Linked DNA regions of Cricetulus griseus. The protein of the gene in region 1 purifies or fractionates together with the protein of each later gene. This does not show direct contact. Links are inferred from orthologs where the notes say so. Each region holds a gene or a part of one and is shown on either strand. Other genes may lie near its edges. The genes, in order: Snx4, Snx7 and Snx30.

Region 1 (3,647 bases):
GATCAATTCCCAGAACCCATATAACAGTAAAGGAGAGATGGACTCTACACTACTATCCTCTGACCTCCACAAGTGCAACACGACAGGTGTGTCTCCTCTCATCACACACAAATTAAAAAAAAAAAAAAAAAAAAAAAACTCAGCTAATGACAGATTCCAGTAGTCCCAAATTCAAACTAGCCAAGCACAATAAACTGCCTACCAAAAGCTAATTCAAATGAGTCTCAAGAATCAGCATTTCATAATTTTTTAAAAGCCGAATTCAAATGAATATTTTTTTTAAAGACGAATTAAAAGAAAAATACCTGTGTTAAAAACAAATAGAAGATTTTGTCTCTACAAAGGACAGGATGTGAGGCAACCCTCAAGAGAAAGTTTTCTAAGCCTATCCGTCGTCTCTCCACAAAGTCTGGATCCATGTTGTCAGCAGAGAGTTTATGCCACACGAACTCTGCCTGGGTAAACAAAGCAACCATTAGGAACAGGCTCAATCACAGGTAAGTATAGCTCTTACCCTCTGTCTTAGCCTGGATTACCACCGCTGTGACAAAACGCCATGGGTGGTCACAGTAACTGGGATGGAAGGGTCTGTTTGGCTTACACCCCCAAATCACTGCTCCCCATCAAAGGAAGTCGGAACAGGGACCTCAAACATGGCAGGAACCTGGGGGCAAAAGTTGATACAGAGGCCATGGAGGGGTGCTGCTTACTAGCTTGCTAAGCTTTCTTTTTTTTTCGAGACAGGGTTTCTCTGTATTGCTGTCCTGGAACTCGATTGGTAGACCAGGCTGGCCTTGAACTCACAGAGATTTGCCTGCCTCTGTCCCCCTCCCCCCCCTGTGCGCCCCCCCCCTCCCCCGCCCCAGTGCTGGGATTAAAGGCTTGCACCACCATGGCTGCCTGGCTCAGCCTGCTTTTTTTTGTTTGTTTGTTAGGTTTTGGTTTTTAACACAGGGTTTCTCTGTGTAGCTTTGGAGCTTGTCCTGGATGTTTTTGGTTTTTCGAGGCAGGATTTCTCTGTGTAGCTTTGGAGCCTATCCTGGCACTTGCTCTGTAGACCAGGCTGACCTTGAACTCAAGAGATTCACCGGCCTCTGCCTTCCAAGTGCTGGGATTAAAGGCATGAGCCACCAAAGCCTGGCCTCAACCTGCTTTCTTAAAGAAACCCAGGACCAGCAGCCCAGGGACAACACCACCCACAATGGGTTGGGTCCTTCCATCTCAATCCCGTATCAATCGATAATTAAGAAAATGTCCAACAGGCTTGTGTGAGTAGAACTCAATTTTCCCAACTGAGACTCCCTCCTCTCAGATGACTCTGGCTTATGTCGAGTTGATATTAAACTATGCAGCACACACTCATAAAAGAAACTTCTTGCTGGGGCATTGGTGGCTCACGCCTTTAATCCCAGCACTCGGGAGGCAGAGGCAGGGAGATCTCTGTGAGTTTGAGGCTAGCCTAGAGCGAGTTCCAGCACAGCCTCCAAAACCACAGAGAAACCCTGTCTCAGAAAACAAAACAAAACAAAACAACAAAAAAGAAAAGAAAAGAAACTTCTCTTTACAAGAGGTTAACCACAATTGATCAAAAAGCAGAGAGCAAGTGATCCTGTAGTGCCCAGCCCTGACTGATGAATCTACACACATCTCTTGCACCTAAGGCTCAGGGAATATCTTGTGGAGCGGTGGAAAGACTGTGACAGCCAGAGGACCAGGAAGTCTGCTGTGAGATTACACCTCCTGAAAATGACAGGGAAACTACACCTATAAATATGGCTGCCTAAACGAGACCTGCACAAGGACATCACTAATACACATGCTAGCATGGAATGAGGACAGCTTTTTGTTGTTTTCAAAAAACATTTATTCTTTTATTTTTTTAAATTGTTGTTTTTCCTTTCTTTCTTTCTTTCTTTCTTTCTTTCTTTCTTTCTTTCTTTTTTGAGACAGGGTTTCTCTGTAGTCTTGGCTGCTGTCCTGGAACTCACTGTATAGATCATGCTGGCTTCAAACCCACAGAGATCCACCTGCCTCTACCTCCAGAGTGCTGGGATTAAAGGAGAGCGCCACCACTGCTCGGCTAGAAGGGGGACATCTTATGGGCAGCTAATGAATGCTGAAAGTGGGAGACATTGTTCTTCCCACGGAAGAGCTACCAAGTGGTCAACCCTGAAATCATATACATACAAGTAACATTATACAGATCCAGCAAGTTGCATCTATATATTTAGGAGAAAGAAAAAAATATATATATATACACACATACATATATAGACACACATGTGGGAGGCAGAGGCAGGTGTTTCTCTAAGTTTGAGGCCAGCCTGGGCTACACAACAAGTTCCAGGATAGTCAGGGCTACTACACAGAGAAAACCTGTCTCGAAAAGCAAAAAGAAAAAGGAAAACAAATAAATTAATGGGCTCAATTCCAGGTAGTTCTCAATTCCTACTGCTCTATCTTACCCGCTTTTCTGGAAGAGGTGGTACAACAACATGGGGGTAGTAAACTAAAAGGTAGTTTCTCAACAACTCGAACTCACTGTACCGCCTCCAAAGTGAGTCTGTGAGGACACTCTGACCGTCAGCATGTTCAACTGACCTGAAAAGGAATCAAAGAGCATTTCTATTCAAAACAGAACACATAAAACCACCTCCTTCAAAACCGTATAACCCTGGGAAGCAGATTCCCTGTGCCCGTTTTTACAGATGGGGATATAGCTGTGCTCTACCTACAAAATACACACTGTGTGTTGTGCACTCAGATCCATCGGAGTCCAAAGCTCTCACCTGGGTACTTTCCTTCTGTTATAGAAAACCCATCTGAACTCATAAGAAGTCACTATATTAGAAACATTCTAGCTGGAGAGATGGCTCAGTGGTTAAGAGCATTGGCTCCTCTTCCAGAAGTTCTGAGTTCAATTTCCAGCAACCACACAGTGGCTCACAACCATCTATAGTGAGATCTGGTGCCCTCTTCTGGCCTGCAGGTATACATGCAGACAGAACACTACAAATAAATAAATGTAGGAAGGAAGGAAGGAAGGAAGGAAGGAAGGAAGGAAGGAAGGAAGGAAGGAAGGAAGGAAGGAAGGAAGGAAGAAGAAACATTCTAAAAGCCTCAGCATTGAACTGGTTTTACAATATTCATTACATAAAAGGTAACTTTAATAGTGCCACAATGAGGGAACAATTTCATGACAAAGACCAAGATACCAGAAAGCCTGAGTTGAGGGTATGGGTCAATCAGATGGATCTGAGTACCAGGAGATCCACAAGAGCAAACTCAGTCATCTCTGAAGGGCAAGGAAGACAGCTTACAACTCATGTCTCATTTTTTCCTTTTCAGAGCTATCAGGCTCTCACATTTTATCTAAACTGCAGCTGGGAGGAAGCTAGGGAAAGAACATGTGAAGACTCAAGATTCCTGCTGCTATCATGAACAAAGGTTTTGATTTTTGGTTTCTGATTTTCTTACTATGCAGTTCTAACTGGCCTGGACTTGGTGTATAGACCAGCCTGCCCTGGAACTACAGGGATCCACCTGCTTCAGCCTCCTGAGTTCAAAGATTAAAGGAGTGTGCCACCATGCCCAACGGCAGAAAAATGTGAAACATTATCAAGACCTCCTTATTTCCAATTATTCGC
Region 2 (4,229 bases), on another chromosome or scaffold:
CAACCTGTTTTTCCCTGTGTTAAAATCAGCTGGCCTCCTGCTGAACACAGATGTCAACAGGAGGCTTCAGCACTCTATGGGCCCCCTAGTAGTGGATCAGTATTTTTCCCTGGTGTAAGAAGGGACTTTGAGAGCCCGTCCCACATGACGGGATGCCCTCTCTCCCGGAAACATGGGGGAGGGCTCGGGTCAGGCCCAGGATGATGTGGTGGACTTTGGGATGCCCCCATGGAGGGCCCTACCCTCCCTGGGGAGCGAAGGGGGCATGGGATGGGGAGTTGATGGGGGGTTGGGGTGAGGGAAGGGAGAGGGAGACGGGATTGACTTGTGAAGCAAGCTTGTTCCTAATTTGAACTAGTAAAAATTAAATATAAATAAAAAAAATCAGCTGGCCTCAAACCAGAGGTCTTTCCTCTTGCCTCAGCCTACCCTGTGCTAAAATCCCAGGCATTACACGACCAGACCTGGCTCTTACATGAATCTTCATTTACTTGAAAATTTTAGAGAAAGGAGAAAAAAGCTGAGGTTGAGATGAATAAATAATAAAAATTGAAGCTAGTTCTAACATATATCAGTTTGCATTCAATTTTTAATTAATTTTTGGATCTATAAAAATAAGCAATGAAAAGCAATGAACAAACAGCTAGTTTCAGCTTTGCACTAGCAGTATGAAAAAAACATGCAGGATTTGTTTCTTTCTCTTTGCAATACCTAGGCCTGCTGGCTGTCCTTGGCGCTTGGAAACATTCTTGCACATTAACTTCAGGAAGACTTCTAGGAGAAAGCTACATTAGAAAGTAGCTGAAAATAATTTTTCAGTCTCAGCTTCCTTGGTTTGACAGTAAAATGACCACAAGTCCAATCACTGAGTCAAAAAAAAAAAAAAATCAATCAAAACCCAGGAGGTTGTAGTGTCTTTAATTTTGGCATTGATCTTTATAAAGACAGACTCGGATGGGGAAAAACAAACAAACAAACAAACAAACCAGGAATAAAAGCACTTTTAAACACTGGAAATAAAGCTGGGTCAGCTGGTCGTGCTTCCAGATCCTGCCACCTCACTCACAAATCTGGTGTCTCTTAACCGTGTCAGAGAGAGAATGCCACCTCCTGTCCTCAGAGTCTCCTCTGCCCACTCTGGCGAGGGTTCCTAGCTTCCAGATCTCAATCTTGGCAGAAACCTGGGGCCAGGTCGGGGATGAGCAATCCCCTCTGCCTGCCCGCCCTGGCTCTGAGCCGCGGTCTCCCGCAGTTCCGCGTCTGCGCACGGCCGAGGGGCAGGAGCTGGGCCGGCCGGGGAGGTGCAGGGCGCCGCGGGAGCCAATGGGCGCGCAGGGGGGAGCCGGGCTGGCTGCGGCGGCCGGCGGGGCTCGCACTGCCGGGATGGACGGCGAGCGCCTGGCGTCGGGTTCCTCGGAGCTGGCGGTCGGTGAGAGCCCGCGGGGCGGCGCCCCGATCCCGGGTGGCAGTGGTTCCTGCAGCCTCATGCAGGCCGACGTGCTGGATCTGGACGAGGACGAGGACGATTTGGAAGTGTTCAGTAAGGTGAGGGCAGGGAACATAGCCGCGGCCGTGGCAGGGGCGGCGCGTCCAGGGAAAGTTCCAGGGTGACTCAACTCCCCGACGGATCCGGAGCTGGAGACGGTGCACACATCCAGAACCAGCCGCTCCCTCCTCCGCACTTTGACCTTCTCAGAGGCAGAACCAAGGCTTATGGAGTCTTAAAAGTTCTGATATTTTTACCCCCTTACTCTTTCCATTTTCCCTTCCTTGATAGGGACATCCCATCATGCATGGGCGGGTGGCCTGAAACTGCTCCTCCTCCAGGCTTCTCTCCTGAAGTCTAGGAGAGTGATTGCTTTACTGCAGGGGAGTGATTTGGGTTTACTGTTGTTAAGTGTGAATGGGAGAGTTGGGTCCCACCCTAGGAGGATCTGGAATCCTGTGACCATTGGGTGCAGAAATCTTTTCAGCAGGAGAAAGCCTGGTCTGCACTCCTGGCAGAGCTGAAGAGGCGTGTTTTTTTGTTTTTTTGTTTGTTTGTTTGTTTTTGTTTTTTTCTTGTTGTTATTTTGGGGGGGGCAGTAAACTGAGGTCCAAACCCTAACTGTAGCCTACGTATTTCCTTCCCATTTGCTTGGATATCTAGCCTCAGAGGCGCTCCCTGGCTAGAGTTATAATTGGAGAGAAATGGACTTTTGGGCATTAGTGGTTGACTTGGGTGCCTGTGGCCTGAAACTTGAACTTTCTGAAAGTTTGAAACAGAAATACCTTTCTTGTGGCACAATCCAGTGTAACAGTAGTTTCTCAAAGGTGCCACTAATGGAAGCCTTGAACTCAGTGGGAACATTGTTTCAATGACCAAGGCAGTGTGCAATAATACCCAGAGATGTTAAAACGGCCCACCTCTTAACTGTCAAACAGAAGTTAGCAAATAACCAGCACACTTGGACTCGCAGCACGGAACTCACAAACTTCATTTGAACTCGTTAGAGCCTAGGCGGTTCACCCAGTTGCATTCTCGGTTGACTTTGTATCACAGTTCCGTGTGCTTAGCCTTCCTATTTATTTAAATTCTAAAATTCGAATTGTTTGATGCTTAGTTTCAATACTGCTTTAAAAACGTGTGTGTGTGTGTGTGTGTGTGTGTGTGTGTGTGTGTGTGTGTGTGTGTGTGTGTGTGTGTGATGTGCTTGCGCCCTGGTGTACAGGTGGCAGTCAAACCACTGCCTGCATTCTGCCCTCTCCTTATTCCATGTGGGCTCTGGGGGATTGAAAACAGGTCACGAGGCCCTGCAGCAAGTAACTCTCTGTACTGAGCCATCCAATGGCCCAATACTGCACTCCCACCCTCATTACACACATACTTTGTTCAGGTCAGTGTGGAACTTCCAGAATAGAGGGAGTGGTGTCAAGATTGGCGGTTGTATATCAAAATCATCTGGAATTGCTGAAAACTTTCCAGGTAGCCTTTTCCCCTAGATTCTGCCCCATAAGCCTCCCTTGAGAATCCCTGTCTCAGTGAGTCACTGTGGTCTGATACGGAGTTCATTTGCTTGGGTCTATGGGAATGTTGGGGATTGATGGAATTACAGGTGTTCTAGGTGAGAAGAAAATGACAGGTTGCAGCCAGAAGCCCTGTGAATGGGCATCCCTTCCCAATTTCCTAAAGCACTATCAGAGTAAGGGATTCCATTCATCTGCTGGGATTTCTTTTTAAATGTTATTACTGGGAGTCCTACCCTACTCACAATGTTGTCCTTGTGGCTCTGTATTCTTTTAAAAAGCATGGGTTAGCTGGAATTGTGTGTTTCATGCCTGTTCACCCACACCTATACTACTTGCTGCTATATCACTTCATGAATTTGCTGCCTAGAGAAAGTTAAGAATTATGCCCTTAGAAGTTGAAAAGTAAGTGGGTAATATGGTTAAAGTCTAAAGAAAGTACCATCCTGAAAAAACATTTAGTTCCATGCTCATTCCAACTTTCAACCATTAACCACAATTAGACAAGAAAAATCATGAAAGTCTCCTCTGGCCTCATTCTTTCCAACATTCCTCTTCAGCCTCTCTTTGGAGCTCTACTACTGTCCCGCCTACTCCAGAATGGGGTCTGTCCAGGACTTGTGAGGCCAACTTTCAGTGCCCTTTACTTTTATAAGATGGCTAACATTTCTCCTTAGATTGTGAATGTATAGCTGATGTCCCTTTCTGAATCAACAAAAGAATAACTTTGACTGACTAAAACATTTTCTTCCAGAAAAACATGTTTTTCCTCCTCTTAGGAAAAACATGCAATATCTCTTTCTTCCTATCATAGTCTTGAAGCTTAGATGGCAAGATAGGACAAACACTAAGTGGCAACATACACCAGCAGGAATGGAAAGAAAAACAAAGTGGGGACCATTGAGTTTTGAAAATTTTACCAAGGAATAATTGATGCCAACTTTGAAAAAAAAAACATTGAAAACACAGCAGGTATTGATTTTAAAAAGTAACTACAGGTGTTGGAAAAGAGATCAGAGAACACAACCAACAACACAATGAGACAAAGTAAGAAGAAAAATACACAAATGACAGCAATCCTGTAAAAATTGTCTTAGCACTTGGCCACAAGGAGATGAAAGAGTAATGTTAGCAAAAAGAAAAGAGGCCAATTCTCTACTTTCTTTTGTATACATAGACCCATGTTATATGTGAGTGTTGTCTGTGTATTCATGTTTACATGT
Region 3 (3,647 bases), on another chromosome or scaffold:
TGTTCTGATTATATGTCTGTAGTATCAGTTTTCCCAACTACAGAGAAGGGACAAGTACCACATTCGACAATTAAGAGCTTTTTGATGAGTGTGCAAAAAGCAAGCCAGCTTACCTTCATGGAGTCAGAGTACAGAATGTATTCCCTGAGCACTGGTAGAAACTCCTCTGTTATATCATCTGTCAGTTCTTCCAAGGCTGTGGAGCAGTTCCCAATGCAGGCTGACACACCTTCCAGTGGCTCTGCTAGCTCGCCTTCCAAGGCGCTCCATGTGGAATACACAGGCCCATATTCCCTCAGCTCTACGAGGTACTCTATAAAAAGAGAAGCCACTTGGAATCTGACTGGGGAGCTCTCACTCTATGATTGATTTAGGAATCTACAGCCCTGGCTATTCTCTTTCCTGGGCATACCCTCCCCCCCCCCAAAAGCTACTGTAAGTCACATCCGAATATCTAGGATTCTTGTTAATAGGAATCAAAACTCCTTTAGGGGAAAATAGCTAAGAGCCAAACCCAGAGAACTTCTTTGGGTGAATAATCACCCCTACCCATGCTGCAAGTGCAACCTTTTACAACACAATGGGGGGGGAATATGACTTTCATATGGGTTCAGAGGGCCTTGCACCCCTGGAACTGGAGTTATAGATGGTTGTGAGTTATAGATGGTGTGATGCTAGGCACTGAATCCAGTCCCTCTGGTCTTAACCTGAGTCATGTCTCTAGTACTCGGCAGGGTGATCTTTAAAAAAAAAAATCAATCACAATGGAAAAATGACAGGATTACAGGGAACACCTCACTGAAAGAGATGTGGTCTTATATAGACAGACTCAGTCCCACACCCAATGGTCCTATCAGTGGTTGCAGGGAATAAGAAAATAATTATTTCTTCACTCCTACAGGGTTAATAAGGCCCTTCATTTGTCACCAGGATTCTTGCCATTTTTGACAGAATATGGTTGCCCTTATTTAACTATTAGGAAATGGCAGTAACTGACATGTTTTAAAAGTCCTGTGTGACAGATGCCTTGGCATGATAATCACATTGTTCGGGTGTGTTTGACCTATACCTGTGTAAGGGGACAAAGTGCCCACTGTTACTGGGATGTGGCTAATCAGGTGACCATGGCAGGAGAAGGGTAGACAGGCAGTGGCTGTGATAAGGACAGACAGACCTGGGTCTGAGCAACTCCCCAGCTCAGAAGAGGGAATAAAGTGAAGCAGGCAGGGTAAAGGGCAAAAGCTCACTGGGATGTAACCTTGGCAAACACGGCCCCCACACTTCTCTTTTGAACCATCTCTCTGCTAAGTTTATTTCTGTAATCAGCAGCCCTGTGGATGGAGGCCATGAGGAAATCACCATGCTCAGTGCGGACAAAGGACTGAGTGCAAAATTACATTCTAGTCACAACCAGCTCATCCCGCTCTGTGTTTGGTTTTTAGGCAGAACTAGGCCTGGTGATGTCACTGTGACATTTCTGCAGGTTGCTTCAGTCTGGCATATATGACCGCCATTGCTGCCACGCTGGGCACTGTCAGTCTCAACAAAGAACTCACCTATTTCTTCTTTGATGATCCGCTGGGCTATCCGATCAATGGTTCCCAGCTTGAGTGCAAAAGTGTCTAAGTAGTCACCAATGGCTGCAAACTCCAGAGGCCGACTCCTCAGCTTATAGCCTCCCGTGACATGCTTGACCGACTCACCCACTCTGGTCAGCAGTGCTATCCCCTGCTTCTTGTAGGCATTCAGGTCCTGTAGATGACAAGGCACCATTCTGGTCACATAGCCAGGGCTAAGGAAACCAGTTTCTGAAGCCTGTGTCTCATTGGAAATGGACAAACTGGAAAGCAGGAGCTATTAGGACCACATACACATCACAGTCCCATTATGGTGGGAACTCTTTCTGTAGGAAGACCAAACAAACCTCTATCTACCCTTATAAGGCAAACCAAAGTACAAGTCCAAAGTCCAAATTGAGGCGCCATAACTTTACTGAGTTTACTTACAGAGTACAGGTTAGGGGTTACTTACAGGAGCAAGGAGCCACACCACAAGAAAATCTCACCCCAGCATAGATGACAACATCCCCATGGCTGCAAATATGGATACCCTCCCACAACTAAACTTCTAGAGTCTATACACACTAGCATCTCCCAAGACCATGGGCCACGTGCAATCAGGAAGAATCATATACAGCTGGCTGTTAAGTGAAAAGAGGGAGTGGCTGGGATCGAGTGAGGGTCCAATGAAGTCTCCCCCACACCCCCGTGGTGGTATCTTACTTATACAAATAAAGCCTGTCTGAAGATCAGAGGATGGAGCTTAGCTAACCATAGAGGTCTGAAGGTCTGAACAGACAGACAGGAAGTGAGATGGCTGGGCAGAGAGAGGAAGTGAGATGGCTGCGCAGAGAGAGGCTATAAGCGGGAAGAAACAGGAACTCACTCATTTCCACTGGGAAGCTACTGAGGTAAAGGTGGCTTTGGCTTGCTCCTTCTTCTCTCTGATCTCTCGGCATTTTCCTCTGCATCTGACTCAGGGTTTTTATTATTTAGACCTATTAACAACTCCATTTACACCCCTACCACACACAAGCCTATCCTTCTTTGATGGAACCTCAATAGTCACCAGGCCCCACTCCTGAGGCTGCTGTGACAAGTTGATGGCTGCTCTACTTGAAGAACAGCATCCACAACAGACCCCCAGACTCACATCCATATGCCCCTGTCCAGATTCCCTGTCAACAGGACTGGGCCCTCCACCCTCCAGTCAATTCTACTCCCTGTCTTTAAATGCAACAGTTTTTCTAACACAATTTTAAAACCTCTGGCAAAAATGCCCTGTGCTGTCTTAGCACAAAATTAAATATCTAAAGATTCATTCCATTCACTCACTCAACCTCAACTAGAGTCATACAAGGAAAGCAGAGGGTGGAGGGTAGAGTTTTGAAAAGAAACAACAGAATCACTGCTAGAAAATTCAGGTGAACTACTATCACTGTAAACATATTTTAAACTCTGAATTTCCTGTGGGTCAAGGCAAAAGTGGAAAATGGGTTGAGCCTTTAAACCTCGTGTATCCAAATTTAAAAAGTTACAGTGTGCAGCATAGTGGCGGATACCTTTGGTTCCATTACTCAAGCGGCAGAGGCAGGTGGATCTCTGTGAGTTCAAGGCCAGCTTAGTCTATACAGTAAGAGCCTGTTCTCCAAACCAACCAACCAAACAAACAGCTCTTAGAGCTGGGCTGGTGGCACATGCCCATGATTCATTCTAGCACTGGGGAATTGAAGCTAGCATGGGCTACAAAGTGAGGTCCTATCATGGTCACTGTTCCATTGCTGTGAAGAGACACTATGACCAAGGCAACTCTTATAAAAGAAGGCATTTATTTGGAGCTTGCTTACAATTTCTGAGGTTCAGTCCATTGTTATCGTAGCAGGGAACATACAAGGTGCTAGAGAAGTAGCTGAGATCTACATCCTGATCCACTGGCAGAGAGAGGGAGGCAAGGAGGGAGGGGAAGGGAGGGGAGGGGAGGGAGGGGAGGGGAGAGGGTGGGGAGGGGAGAGGGTGGGGAGGGGAGAGGGTGGGGAGGGGAGAGGGTGGGGAGGGGAGAGGGTGGAGGAGAGGAGCAGAGGAGTAGCG

The links.
Region 2: the proteins of Snx4 (region 1) and Snx7 purify together in Homo sapiens (affinity purification with mass spectrometry; 3 studies listed by BioGRID and IntAct, counting the BioPlex papers as one, with this or other methods). This does not show direct contact. The link is inferred for Cricetulus griseus from reciprocal best matches to the Homo sapiens genes SNX4 and SNX7.
Region 3: the proteins of Snx4 (region 1) and Snx30 purify together in Homo sapiens (co-immunoprecipitation; 4 studies listed by BioGRID and IntAct, counting the BioPlex papers as one, with this or other methods). This does not show direct contact. The link is inferred for Cricetulus griseus from reciprocal best matches to the Homo sapiens genes SNX4 and SNX30.

The regions. Positions count from the first base shown.
Region 1 is NC_048597.1:56,292,364-56,296,010, forward strand, and holds part of Snx4 (sorting nexin-4), read right to left. Parts: intron 2,602-3,647; coding exon 2,466-2,601; intron 456-2,465; coding exon 306-455; intron 1-305. UniProt on the Homo sapiens protein: Involved in the regulation of endocytosis and in several stages of intracellular trafficking. Plays a role in recycling endocytosed transferrin receptor and prevent its degradation.
Region 2 is NW_023276806.1:40,435,354-40,439,582, forward strand, and holds the start of Snx7 (sorting nexin-7), read left to right. Parts: upstream 1-1,340; 5' UTR 1,341-1,383; coding exon 1,384-1,545; intron 1,546-4,229. UniProt on the Homo sapiens protein: Involved in the regulation of endocytosis and in several stages of intracellular trafficking. Together with SNX4, involved in autophagosome assembly by regulating trafficking and recycling of phospholipid scramblase ATG9A.
Region 3 is NC_048595.1:83,864,104-83,867,750, forward strand, and holds part of Snx30 (sorting nexin-30), read right to left. Parts: intron 1,753-3,647; coding exon 1,557-1,752; intron 314-1,556; coding exon 114-313; intron 1-113. UniProt on the Homo sapiens protein: Involved in the regulation of endocytosis and in several stages of intracellular trafficking. Together with SNX4, involved in autophagosome assembly.